Mytilus edulis: one gene and its partner. The protein of the gene in region 1 interacts with the protein of each later gene in a pairwise test. Links are inferred from orthologs where the notes say so. Each region holds a gene or a part of one and is shown in the gene's direction. Other genes may lie near its edges.

Region 1 (6,833 bases):
GTATTTTCCTGTTTGGATATATAAATTAGATCGTGGGTTTTCCTGTTCGAATTGTGTACGCTAATAATTGTGGGGTCCTTTATAGCTTGCTGTTTGGTCTGTATCAAAGCCCTGTGTAAAAAGCCGTACTTTGACCTGTGTTTGTTATTATCAGGTTGAGAACAACCCTCCCTCAGACAAGGAGTCATTTTACTGATGTAGAAAAGAAAATAGAAATACCAAGGATTTGTATAGTTCTTCTATACAAAACCTTTGAACACTTAGAATTTTGTACTCAAAAAGAGGAGAGTTACATCATATTTTAAACAAATTTTTCTTAAAGAGGGGTCCACTTATTTTGAATAATATTAAACTGTTAAAGTAAATGTAGTAACATGGTTAAAGTCCAGGAATATTACTAAATTCTGGGACATGTTTTGACCATTTAATACCAGATAGATATATAGTTTTATGAGAAAATATGAGCCCTTTTGTACAAACAAATATATTATAACTTATATTGATCTCTCATAAAACATGTAAAAGGGATATTTATAACATTAAGGGGTTGCCCCCAAACTGATTATGATTTGGATGGAGAATTGTCTCACTGTCAGTCACACATACATAGACCAGATTTAATTATTTCTTGGTGAACAGGGAAAAATACTTCAGAAATTAAAGAAATGTCAAAGTACAAGTGATAAATCAAGTTTTAATATTGTCAAAACCTATTATTTTATGTTTACAAAAAAAAATTATAACCGCTCGCCTTTACTTTTCAAGCTTCGCCTCAAAAATTTGCAAATTAAATATTTTTTTATTAAAATTTTCAAATCGCTCGCTCGCCCCAAATTTTGGAGTCCAAAAATCCGTAGAACAAGAAATTAAATTGGTGTGGCCTTATAATACATTTGTACTTGAATCTAGAGTTTCACATATACTGTATATTCAGTAAGCTCCTGAAGTTTAATTTTTACAATTTGAAGATAGACGGAGTCTAACAAGATTTCGCATATCTGCTCACCATTTACTTATAGAGAAAGGTAGATATAGTAATACTCCCGGACACAATAGAATATGTAAGAGCTGTTGTAGAACTCACATTCAAAAATCCCTAGCAAGACCCTGTTTGGATTACAGTGAAACTTCTCTAAACCGGTCCCTCTTAATACCGGTTCTCCCTTCATACCGGCCAAATCAACAAGTCCTGGCCGGCGTGTATGTAAATAAACGGTCAGGTAACCTTATAAAACCGGCCACCCCTTTAAACCGGATACCGGCCGATATTTGTGTATTTGTGTAATCAAAATCAATAAAATATCACCTCATAAAACCGGCCTTGTCATTTGTAATCATTAGTCCATATAAAATAATGTTATATAAACAAACAAGTTAATCCGGTCAATTAGGACACCTGCATGGCCACTGAGTAGTGTTTACCTGTCAATGTCAAATCAATACCCGAATAAATTATCGGTTGAGAGATTATGATCTTCACCCACGCTAATCAATGATGATAATTAATTTTTTATTAAATGTTTTAGCTTGGCTACTTTATTTGATCATTTGAAAAAAAAAAAATTTAGGCAAATTACAGAAATTAATCACTTTGATCTTTCAAAATAAATCGTAAATAGATAGTGCTCATACTTAATTGGAAAATGTAATGTTTTATAAGTATAAAATTAAATCTTAGTGCCTATAAAATAAATCATTTATATGTATTTATGAGCATGTCTACGTAGCGCTGTAATGTTTGTGTACTGCTTCTATATTATTATCACCGTATGGTACCGATGATGAATGTGTGATTAATGATTTGAATAACATAATATATCGATATTAAAACTGTTTTGTTATATAGTTGCATTTTATTTGTTATTCCTGCAAAATAAAAAATAATAAAGATACAAATGATGTTTTAATATTTATTTCATAATAAATTTAGAATACGAAGCTAAATTTACACAACAAAACAAACTTTATGATTGATACATGGTCAAAAATACAAATGCACAAATATTGAAGGGAAGCAACTCTTGTTAATTTGAAATTCAACAAACCGGCCACCCCTGAAAACCGGCCGAATCCCGTGGTCCGATGGGCGGCCGGTTTTGAGAAGTTTCACTGTATATAGAGTTCTTATCAAATTTTTAATTTCAGTCTGTTTATTTTAAACTAGATATATATGTTCCAGACCGTATGAGTATTTGGACCGTACGCGTACGGTCTGGACCGTATGCGTACTTTTTCAAAATACTCATATGGTCGGACCGTACGCATACGGTCTGATTGATATCATTAAGAAGTTGCTTAAGTTTATAAGTTACAAATGCATGTAAAGTTCATGTACAGATCAACATAACTTAACTCTCAAATTAATATGGAAAAGTTCAATTGTAATTGGAATAAAAGCTTTATTTGTTAACTAATAAAAAAAATCACGCTTTTTAAATCTATCAATATCTAGTATTTAGTATGTCGATCAGTAATACATTAATTGAATTATGATCATAGAAATTTACGATATCGGAATTTAACATGATGTGGGACGACAATTTTAGAATATTAGAAACTTTACAAAAAAATGCAAATGCAAAGGAACATGAATGAACCGCAAACATGTAAATGTAAAAACTATATCATTAATTGTGGTAGTAAGTGTCACCTTGGGCGAGAGTACCAAAATAGTATTCAGATATACAATTAAACAAATATTTAATGTCAATTGTTCAATTGTTCATTTTGTCCATCTAAAAGTAATTGTAATGACAACAATTTATAAAACTAAAAATAAAGATTGTGATAAATGGTTATCTCGTACTGGACCATACGCGTATACTCATACGGTCCGACCGTACGCGTATGGTCGGACCGTACGAGTATACGTATACGGTCCGGACCGTACGCGTACGGTCCAAATACTCATATGGTCTGGAACATATACATTGTAGAAGAGTGTTGCATCATCGACACATGCAGGAAACAATTGGCAAAAATACTTTAATTTAAAGTATCTATTATATTAATATTCCATAATCATTGACAGGGTTAGTTTGAATTTGAATTGATTCACTTGGACAAATACATAATTTTTGTACCTGATAGCAATAACAAATTTATATTTTAAGGAAACTGAAACATGTGATGTGTCCAAACTTAATTCTCCCTCAACCAGAATAAAGAATGAACTCCTGCATCACATAAACATATACTTCTATCAAATGAAACCTCATAAAGACAATAGCAGTAAAGACAGTATAGAAATACAACAAACCTGGACCATATGATAACCTTGCTTGTGTTGATTCGTGTGGTTTTCTCAATTCTTTCTTAGGGCTCGTTCGATTATCTGAAGAACGATCGGGATTAGACATAATGTTCATATCACCGTTAATGTTGTTAGACATGTCTTTTCTGTGTCTATCTAAAATATATGGATGTTACACTCTAATCTAAGGTGAGTTTTACGAAATCATTGCGAAACTTCATGTAAACAGATGCTCGAAATCATAATTTGGTGCGGGATTAACTAGCTGATGTTTCCAGTATAAACAAAATTTTGTTTTGATAATTTAAAGTTTAGATACTACTATATATTTTTTTATCAATCAGTATGTTCATAAATCAATATTTCTTATTCAGATATATTATTTATTGAACAAACAAACAAAAATTATACGGATACATCATAAATAAAAAGCTTATATTTGATATTTTGAAGATAAAGTTATATTTATCGAATTAATTATTGTCAAAATATATAAAATAATGTTTAATTAAAGGAAATGGATCACTTAATAATAAATTATTAACATATTTAAAAAAAATATTAGAGCACTTTTGCGGAGCAAATCACAAATGTAAACATGGCGAAGAAAAAGCGAACACGTGCTGATGTTGAAAAGGAAGAAAAGGCTTCTCAAAAAGAAAATGATGTGCACTTACCCACCACAATATCTTCAGACGAGCCACTGAAAAAAATTGTAATTTATAGTGTATTTGTCTTGATTTTTTTTTTTTACAAAAACATGATAGACAATTATATTTTGAAACCATGAAAATAGTATTTATGACTTCATGAGGAACCATTCAAATCAAGATTGTCCAATTCTGTATTTGTATTTCCCACTTCTAATTATTAGGATGGGTACATCAGATATTTCTTTTGGCTATTTTGTGACGGATTCAAGTGGTTTGGGTACAAGTTAGTAGCGCTTGCTGGGGACTTCTGATTAAAACACATCAGTTTTAGTGATGTACACTATTGAGTCTGAATCTTCATCCAGTTGCGCCCACTCAAGTTGGCTCCCATTCATGTTCGCCCCCTTTCACTGTCACACTGTACACCTTTTATTGGTTTTGTGTTTAAAAAATTTGTAATCAAGTTTTGGTAAGTGTATTGCTGTACACATATATTTTTATCATGGTTTCTAAATAAAGTGAGATTCTGACAAGTTGTTTTTGGGGTCATGGTAAGTGTTCATACATGTGACAGAGTTGTCAAGCCACAACTGGAGATTTGGAAATTTTCAGCTGGAGTTTGGGCCTCATAACTGGAGATTTTTTATCGACGTACGCAATGGTTTTTTCGTGTGTGTTTAAACTGCATATCTTCCTTTTTTGTTAAAAAAAGCCCAATGATTTCATACCTTCAAGCACCTGCATAGCCATTTTTACTTAGTAAAATAGAAGATAAAGGGGGGGGGGGGGGGTCAAATATTTATTCATCATATATAGTTCAAAGTTAAAGTGATCAGCCATCATATATAGTTCAAAGATAAAGTGATCAGCCATCATACATAGTTGGCAAAAAGTACCTCTGCTTTAGCCACATTGTCAACTTTAGTACCACTACTGAACATGTTTGTAAAAGAAGGTGTTGAATTGATAGAGTTGTGGGCTTTCTGGTGGGTAGCTGTCTCCATATTTTTGGTCAAGTAATTAGGGCCCCATAGTCAGCTTTGCATGAAGTGTAGTAAGCATTGTCTTGACCCTTGGCACTGGACTTGCACCATTTTTAAATTTGGCTAGATACTCATTACTGTGTCTTCTTTAATATTATGCTGGGGTACATGTATTTGATGATAACATGATACAGTTTGTATTTTGTCAAATTATAAGACAAACACACTTATATAGGTATTCCATTGGCCTAGATAGAAGACAAGACATAAATATCATATTTGAGTTGATTTTATTGTCTTTGAGGTTCAGTATAAACTAAGTCTGTTCCATGTTTTCAATAGCATCACAATTTATAAAGTCGATGTTTATACAACTGTTCCATTGTCAGTATCACTTTTAATCATCCAGACATGTATATTTAACTAGCTAGTTGATTACTAGGTAAATGCCAATCATCTTTTATTGTTGTATATACAGTCTATAATCCTTAACACCTTCATTGATTACTTAAGGCTATTTTCCTATTACCTTTTTGACACAAATTCCATTACAGGAAACTTCCGTTTTTCTCGGACTTTTCCTATATCAATTTAGAGTTTCTCGGACTTTTTCCCTGTCCGTATCTATTTTGTAAACAGAAATGTCTACTGAAATTTTTTCGAGATTGACATTTTCAAAAAGCGGAAGATTTCAAATTTTAACGGGAGGGACGGAAGAGGGTCTGAAAAGCGGGAGATTTTAACTCCCGCCGGAAGAATCACATGTATGAGTGTTTTGCTATAAACATTTTTGGTATATATGTAAGACTCTAAAGTGCGATGGTACTCTTAAGTGCGATGGTAACGCTAAAGTACGATGGTAACGCTAAAGTGCGATGGTAACGCTGAAGTACTATGGCGTCTCACGCTAAAGTGCGATGGTTGTTTGTTCGCTAAAGTACAATGGTGTGTCACCCTAAAGTGCGATGGTCCAAAGGGTAAGATTCGAAGTAATAAAACATCGAGGTTAAAAAAGTCTTTTTGCAAAAGCTATTATGCTAAGGTATAACATATGTGATAGGCTTTACAATTTACTGGTAGACTGAAGTGATTGTTTCTAAATTATGAAGTCCAACCAAGTAATAATTGCTATAAAGGTATTTTATGTTTTGCAAATATTATAAATCATGTAAAATAAATTTTTAACAATTTGGAGCGTATTGAATATTTGGATAATTGGTGTAGAATGCCGTTCACACTAATGTTACAACCTCCCTTACATTTGTCATTGAAAATCAAAAATACAAAATTCGTTCATTGTCGGGATATGCAACATTTATTTGTTAAAGTTTTAATCTAAATGCAAGAGAAATGCAATGTTCGCCGATCTTTCTCCTTTTTCGTATATAGTAAAATGGTCGACTGTAGGATACAAGTCCTTCTTCCAGCACTCGAAAAAATAAACATTGTGATTTAGCCGACAAAGAACGGTTAAATTAAATCAATTAATCGTAAGTCATGGACATTTGGTGTAAAAATTGTTAATAAAATATTCCTAATCTATCTTCTGGAATGTTCATTTTTGGTTTGTATTTAAACGACTGTTAACGTCAGTATCGAACTACGTTTCTAACGTCAATATTTTTGGGGACCATCAGACTTTAGCGTATGGAAGCATCGCACTTTAGCGTAGACCATCACACTTTAGCGTGACCATCGTAATTTAGCGTCCCCATTGCACTTTAGAGTCATACATATATATATATACATTTAAAAAATATCGTATAATTCAACTGAAATTTGAATAAAAATTTGGTGTGAATGTGTACAAATGGTGCAGGGTGCGAACAGACTTCGGGGGAGAACATGTGAGGACAGAGATGCAAACGTGTAGGGTGCATAAGTGTGTTGGACGTGTACGGACCTGATACCATTGAGTCCTCCAGATGTTTCTAATATGCTGCA
Region 2 (6,833 bases), about 87 Mb from region 1:
TTGTGGGTATCATAAATAAATCATACCCGCACACCTAAATTTAAACAGAAATCAAGTAGTTAGATTCCGAATCAATATTCTTATTATTAACAGCATCAAAATTATTATAAATGGGATCACGGAACTCTTGTGTTATTTATTTATTATTATGTTGGTCGTATATTACTTACTTTTATCAGATTGTAAATAATAACATGCTACAAATGTCTCATTTGTGATTCAATCCCATGCGTTTGTTTTGTTATTGCGCAATTCAGTCATATGACTGGTACCTGACATAAATACTACTGTTGATTATATTATAAAGTCGAAAATAGATCAAGGTATCAGTATGATATAGTAACTGACGGGATAGGCTAAAAAATAGGACAATGTTCGATAAACATTTATGATAAAAAAAAATAGGATTGCGCTTAATAATAAAGGAGTTATGGAATGCAAACGATATGGTCCTATTATAATTAAAGTAAAAATATTAAATACACACACCCCCTTTACGAGGGTCTCGATGGGGTTTACAGAATAGACAATAATGGACAATAACGTGCAAAAAAGGTAAAAACTTAAGGCAAAAAAAAAAAGAATAGAGAATAATGGGGAGCTAAAATGTACAAATATTAGGCAAAATTTATAAAGAATAGAGAAAAGGTCTTGAAGAATTGCAGGACCCCCATCCAGACACCCTTTTAATTACTTTTTCATTTGACAGACTGCTTCAGTTATGTCAAAGTCATTATCCTTACTTTATAAATCTGTTTTATAAAATTCTTTTAGTGATTTTCTTTTATTCAAACTACAAGGATCAGCGCTGGATTCAGCCGGGCTTTCAATAAGTGGTGGGGCGGAGGAGCCCAAGAAAATAAGGCGGAGATGGTTGGTAGTTGGTATAAAAAAAAACGGATGGGGTGGGGTTGAGCGTGCAATATCAAATAAAGTCTACTATAACATATATTTTAAATTGAAACCGTGTGAAATGCTTTCACATTGAGGATTGTTTATATTATAACTTCAGCTGCTTCAAATCTACCATCTTATAATATTTCTTATTTAGATTTTCATGAACTAATTGTAGAAATTACTGCATTCTTTTTAAATGATTTTGGAATACTTGTAGTTTAAAATCCAAGGTCGAATAAATGAGGGTCTATAAAATCAGAATTCTTCATTTCTGTATTCTCTATTTTATGTCGATCTATCCCGAAATCCCGAGCTTAAAAACACCCGATCTCGAAGTCCCGATAAAGGTCCCCCTATTTACTTTCTCTATTATTTTAGCCAATTATTCTCTATTTTTAAATTCTCAAAACAAACGTCTGAACTCTAAGGCAGCAACCATTTGATTTTCTGGGGGGGGGGCTATGGTTTTTTTTTCTGTGCAAACTTTTTTTTTCGCCTGCGGCAAAAAACAATCTATTTTTTTCGCGACAAGTCGAAAACAATTTTTTTCTTTCAATTTTAGCATTACATATAGTGGCAGCTGAGGGTGAAACAAACAATTTTTTTTTCTCAGAATCATAAACAAATTATTTTTTTCTCCAAAAACTGGAAACAAACTTTTTTTTCCAAAAAAAAACATAGCCCCCCCCCCCCCCCCCCCCCCCCCAGAAAATCAAATGGTTGCTGCCTAAAAACAAATACCGAACATTGAGTAATGATTGGCCAAGCGGTTAATAATTTATCAAATGTCAGCTAGTGAAAAAATCGTATAGACTAAATTATCAATCAAAACATTTCGGGTGGAATTAGTGTAAACACAACACTTCATCAATTCAGATGCTATTTAGCCTAACATCTATCATGACATGTATTTTAAAACTACTCATGTATCAAAATTAAGTAGTGTCTAAATAAAGTAGTATCTTTGGGTTCTAATAAGATCAATTCGTGTTGGATAAATGTTTTTAAAGAGTCGGTATGAAGCTGTACTCTGGTCTGTTCTTACAGGTCAGGTGGTGTGTAGAATTGATTATTGCCTCAGTTACGAATGTTCCTGGTGTTTGATACAATGTCTGTTGTTAAGAAGTTTGCTTTTCCATTGAGTCCCTTGTGCGGTAGAGAGGCGAAAGCTAAATAAACGGCCCCAGTCACACTGTCACGTTTTATTCCGTTTTAAAATGCTGCGTTTCAACTACGGTTTTAAATAAAAGTGTCCCGTTATTTTGAAAGCTAGGGTTTAACTTTACTAGGTTTGTGCTACGTTCTTATATATCACGTTTTGCTATGATACTAGTACGTGTAGACCCACGTTTCCACCACACATTGATACGTTTCGATACGTAGTAAGCACGTTTTGTTACGTTCCATTAGGCTTTGATACGTATTTACTAGGTTTCTACTTTGTGTCTATTTTCGTTACGTTTGCTGTTGAATTTTTAAAACATACGGGGCAGGTCCCGTTTTGAAGAAAGGATCACTACGTTTCGATACGCTTCGTTACGTATATTTCCGTTTCGCTACTAGTACGCTTTCAAAACGTAGCTCTTGAAACGTGACAGTATGACCGGGGCTTTAGGGACACACACACTCATGAGAAAAAAAATGAGCTGATAACGCTTTGACAAAAAAAAACGGTATCAAAAGACACTCAGTATAAACAGCACAACATAGAATATTAAAAACTGGGCAACAAGTGCCCAACCAAAAATTGAAATGATTTTAATTTCACCATTTGGAACTCTCGGTTTAAGGTAGTAAAGGTGTCTTTCGCCATCTTGTATTGTAAACAACAGAGTACCTACGGTCCAGATTTTCAATCAAGCCTGAGGTAATAGCAAAGTTTGATGCAGGAATGCAGATAGCTAATGTGAAAATTAATTTAAAAGAACAAATTTATTAGATTATAACTTATAAATATTAAAATACTTTTATGAGTGTAGATTATTTTTGCTTGGTTTTGAAATGTTTTAAAATTTATATATTTAGGGGAACCTACAAGAAAAAATGTATATCTTAGCTAGAAAAACGTACGGTGACACCCTATCTTTTCTGTTTGATATTCTCAAAGATATTCTAAATGCTAACTTCTCGTATTTAATTTACAATGCTATCATTCAGTGTAGCTTCTAATCACACTCATGATTATGGGTTTTTTTCCTGTATAATCCATACAAAATGTGTAGGCCTAATTTTGTCACAACCTGTAGCTTAAATGCTCGGTTTCATCATTTTTATTATTTTTTAACACATCAACGTTTATGCAAAGTATGAACTAATTCCATCATTTTTAATTCATACTCCTATACCACACTGAAAGCTTCCTTGTGAGAAGAACTATCATGGAAGGAGCGATAAGGAACGCAAGCCCTGGAATATCCGGCGCATTAACTGTGAGATATAAACTTCATATTCAGACGCTGCTGGAATGTTCCTATATAGCAGTGGAACAATATAAAATGTTTTCTCTCCTTCTATATATATATATATATCTTTCGTTGATTTCAAGTTTATGTCTTTTGCTATTTGGTGGGATTTTTTTCAGGGTTTTTTTTTTTGGGGGGGGGGAGGGTGTATTATTGTTAGTTGTTTTGGTAAGTATACAACAATGATTCCAAATTATGCCTGTGTTTTTGGCGGAATAGGGCATACGTGTTAAGAAGGATATATAGCAACATCAGAGTATGTCATTTAAAAACGATCGTGTGACCTTATAAATATAATCAATCGATCGACTGTCGAATCTGCACCTTTGGAATTTTTATTTAGTAAGTCGCAACTAATTTACATAAAAGATCTGATACATTCAAAACTGAAATGTATTCGCCCTTTATCATGAATCTTTTAACACAGTACCGCCACAGGTTTCCGTAATATATTCATGTCTCCCTGTTTGACTTCGGATACTATTATTTAGTTGTTTTTCTTTGACACACGTGTTTTTGTTTTTTCATTGAAAAATGTCAGACCTAGATTCTTCCGATTCAGAGAGTGTAGATTCTGATACTCAGGTAAATTTCTGCTGTATATAACAAATGACGTAGTAAAAGTTGAGGGGAAATATGCTTTCGACTGTCGTTTAGGTTTCATCAGACATCAGTTCATCATCCCAGGTTGGTTCGAACGTTCGCATATCTACATGTACAACTTATTTGAGCTTATGTAGCTTGATTTTCACTTTTTAAGTTACATGTAGACTGAGCTATTAAAATCTATCCAAGTTAGTGCATTAGTAATTGGAGTATCCTAATCCTTGTAAGACCAATAATAAAAATATGCCAGTCCTGTATCATGTATGCAGGGATCTCCATGGATAAAAATTGAACGATGGAGAAACTTTCACCATCATAAACTGTATCTACGCCGTACAGTGTAGCGCGATCAAAAGTATTTCATCCCTCCACATAAGGATAGGTGAACATGCTAATTCATTGCTTATTTAAATTATATTTATTTGAATTTTCATTATAAATTCTATATAGAAATATATATATTTTCAATAATTGCTGTTTGTAACACTTCAAAGGCCAAGCCCTTATGCCCCCTCCCTTTCCCTTAGTCGATAATGACCAATAGCTATCACGAAGGTAGTTTTCTTGCTATTTTTGGTAATTGTTATGGGTGTTAAAAATCATGTTGAGCTTATTTTTCACGGACACTGTCAACTTCAGAAGTCATGAACCCATTACCGGTACTGGTTTGCAGCAACAACAAAACGAGTCGTACAGGTTATGTAAAAGGTTAAAAAGATTTGTAAAGCAAACATTGTGAAATGAAAAGGTTTTTAATGATGCTATGCAACTTGCATCTTTCCGAGTCTGAATAGAAACCGGAAACGCGGATGTATCAATTTGATTGTAAACTACGAAATGATTGGGAATTACGATACGATATTTCTTTACAGGAAATATCATGAATATTAAAAGTTTTTACTTTTTAACTTTTAAAGTAATTCTTTATTATTGTTACAATACAGCAGTACTCCAGTTATTTGCGATGAAATAATAATTTACTGTTTTACATCTTATTTTGTACTTCTTAAAAAGGGGGATGCTGATTGCGTAAGTCAAAATAAAAGCACGTGGTCGACTTGTTAAACTTTGAACTGGATTATTAATTTATTTATTTAATCTGAATTATCATAAGCATTTGCGGAAACTTGGTTAAATAATTCGACAAATGAATCTTCTATCTTCAGGTAATATTCTCCTGTCTGGTTTGTTGATCTACCTGAACAAGTTCAGGTACAAGTGATTAGCGATCTTAATCCAGATATCCCCCAAGCGTTTGAACAGTATTATACTATAAAAAAAGCCTGAGGGTTATGCAATTACATGCATTTAATTATAGTTGCTAAACAAATTCTTTATCAAGTCCAGATCTATCTGCTCTAAAATTTTCAGATGAATTGGACAACTGGTTGTTAGGTTGCTGCCCCTGAATTGGTAATTTTAAGGAAATTTTGCTGTTTTTGGTTATTATCTTGAATACTATTATAGATAGAGATAACCTGTAAACAGCAATAATGATCAGAAAAGTAAGATTTACAAATAAGTCAACATGACTGAAATGGTCAATTGACCCCCTAAGGAGTTATTGTCCTTTATAGTCAATTTTTAAAAATTTTCATAAAATTTGTAAATTTTTACTAACATTTTCCACTGAAACTACTTTGCCAAGTTCATTATAGATAGAGATAATCGTAAGCAGCAAGAATGTTCAGGAAAGTAAGATGTACAAACACATCACCATCACCAAAACATAATTTTGTCATGAATCTATCTGCGTCCTTTGTTTAATATTCACATATACCAAGGTGAGCGACACAGGCTCTTTAGAGCCTCTAGTTCATTTATGTAAGTTTCACCTACCTGCCACCCTTTATTTTCTCATATTTAGACAGTTTTCACAGTGACCCACCGGTTTTGGCATTTTAACTTTGATTTTGAAAGATTGTCATGTGATCCCGAGAAAAAACTAAGGCACAATGGACTATGGGAAATGATGTTTGCATATGACCATAGGTCAATATGAATATAAAATCTAACACCTGGCTCATTTAAAATGCCATCAATGTTAATATCCGAGAGCTTCCTAATGTTATCGTGGTTTGCACTAAATGCTTAATACCGATCTCCTGTAAAGGAGGTGAAAAATCGTGGTTGGCTACTAAATGTTAAATATCGATCTCCTATAAAGGAGGTGAAAAAAGTATAAATTTTTGCATATTTGAGTCTCGAGGTTGCAAAATCTCTCGTAACTTGATGTCCATTTGAAAATAAAAGTAAAAATGTCTGAATCGATGGGTCACTGTGAAAACTGTCTAAATATGAGAAAATAAAGGGTGGCAGGTAGGAGAAACTTACATAAATGAAGACATAAATGAAAAAAAAAACAAATTGATACCTGATTTATACAATTCCAAGGTCGTCTGTTGGCACCAGAAGGGAATAGCAGCGCATCTATTTTGGACGGGCAAATATCCACTTTTTGATATGGGACGAGCTCTGACGTCCCACGTCCACAGCTTGTCTGGCAAAACAGCAGTTGGAAGTCAGAGTAATCTCGGACTACATGTATAGGATCCATACAATTAAACAGAAATTGACCCACTAGAGATGCTCCAGAGACAAGCAGGATATGAGATGAACAAACACCATAATCACTCTAGTGTAAGCAAAATGCCACCTAGAATGGAGATCACTTGAACAAAGACGAAAAGATGCAAGACTTACCATGCTCTTCAAAATAGTAAATGAGAAAGTTGCTGTGACAAAGGAAGATCATCTAATTCCACCTAAATGATTGTCAAGAAATATGCATGACAAAAGCTTCCAAATTTCAGCAGCATTATAAGATTACCGGAAATATTCTTTCCACAAACCATCAAAGATTGGAAC

Evidence for each region.
Region 2: the proteins of ribosome biogenesis protein BRX1 homolog (region 1) and probable rRNA-processing protein EBP2 interact in binary tests that used the Drosophila melanogaster proteins (3 or more experiments, as listed by UniProt). The link is inferred for Mytilus edulis from reciprocal best matches to the Drosophila melanogaster genes CG11583 and CG1542.

Annotation. Positions count from the first base shown.
Region 1 is NC_092344.1:5,745,570-5,752,402, reverse strand, and holds the start of ribosome biogenesis protein BRX1 homolog, read left to right. Parts: upstream 1-3,811; 5' UTR 3,812-3,851; coding exon 3,852-3,968; intron 3,969-6,833. Other genes in the region: polyadenylate-binding protein-interacting protein 1-like, read right to left, coding at 3,260-3,392. UniProt on the Drosophila melanogaster protein: Required for biogenesis of the 60S ribosomal subunit.
Region 2 is NC_092344.1:92,387,732-92,394,564, reverse strand, and holds the start of probable rRNA-processing protein EBP2, read left to right. Parts: upstream 1-3,806; 5' UTR 3,807-3,893; coding exon 3,894-3,944; intron 3,945-6,833. UniProt on the Drosophila melanogaster protein: Required for the processing of the 27S pre-rRNA.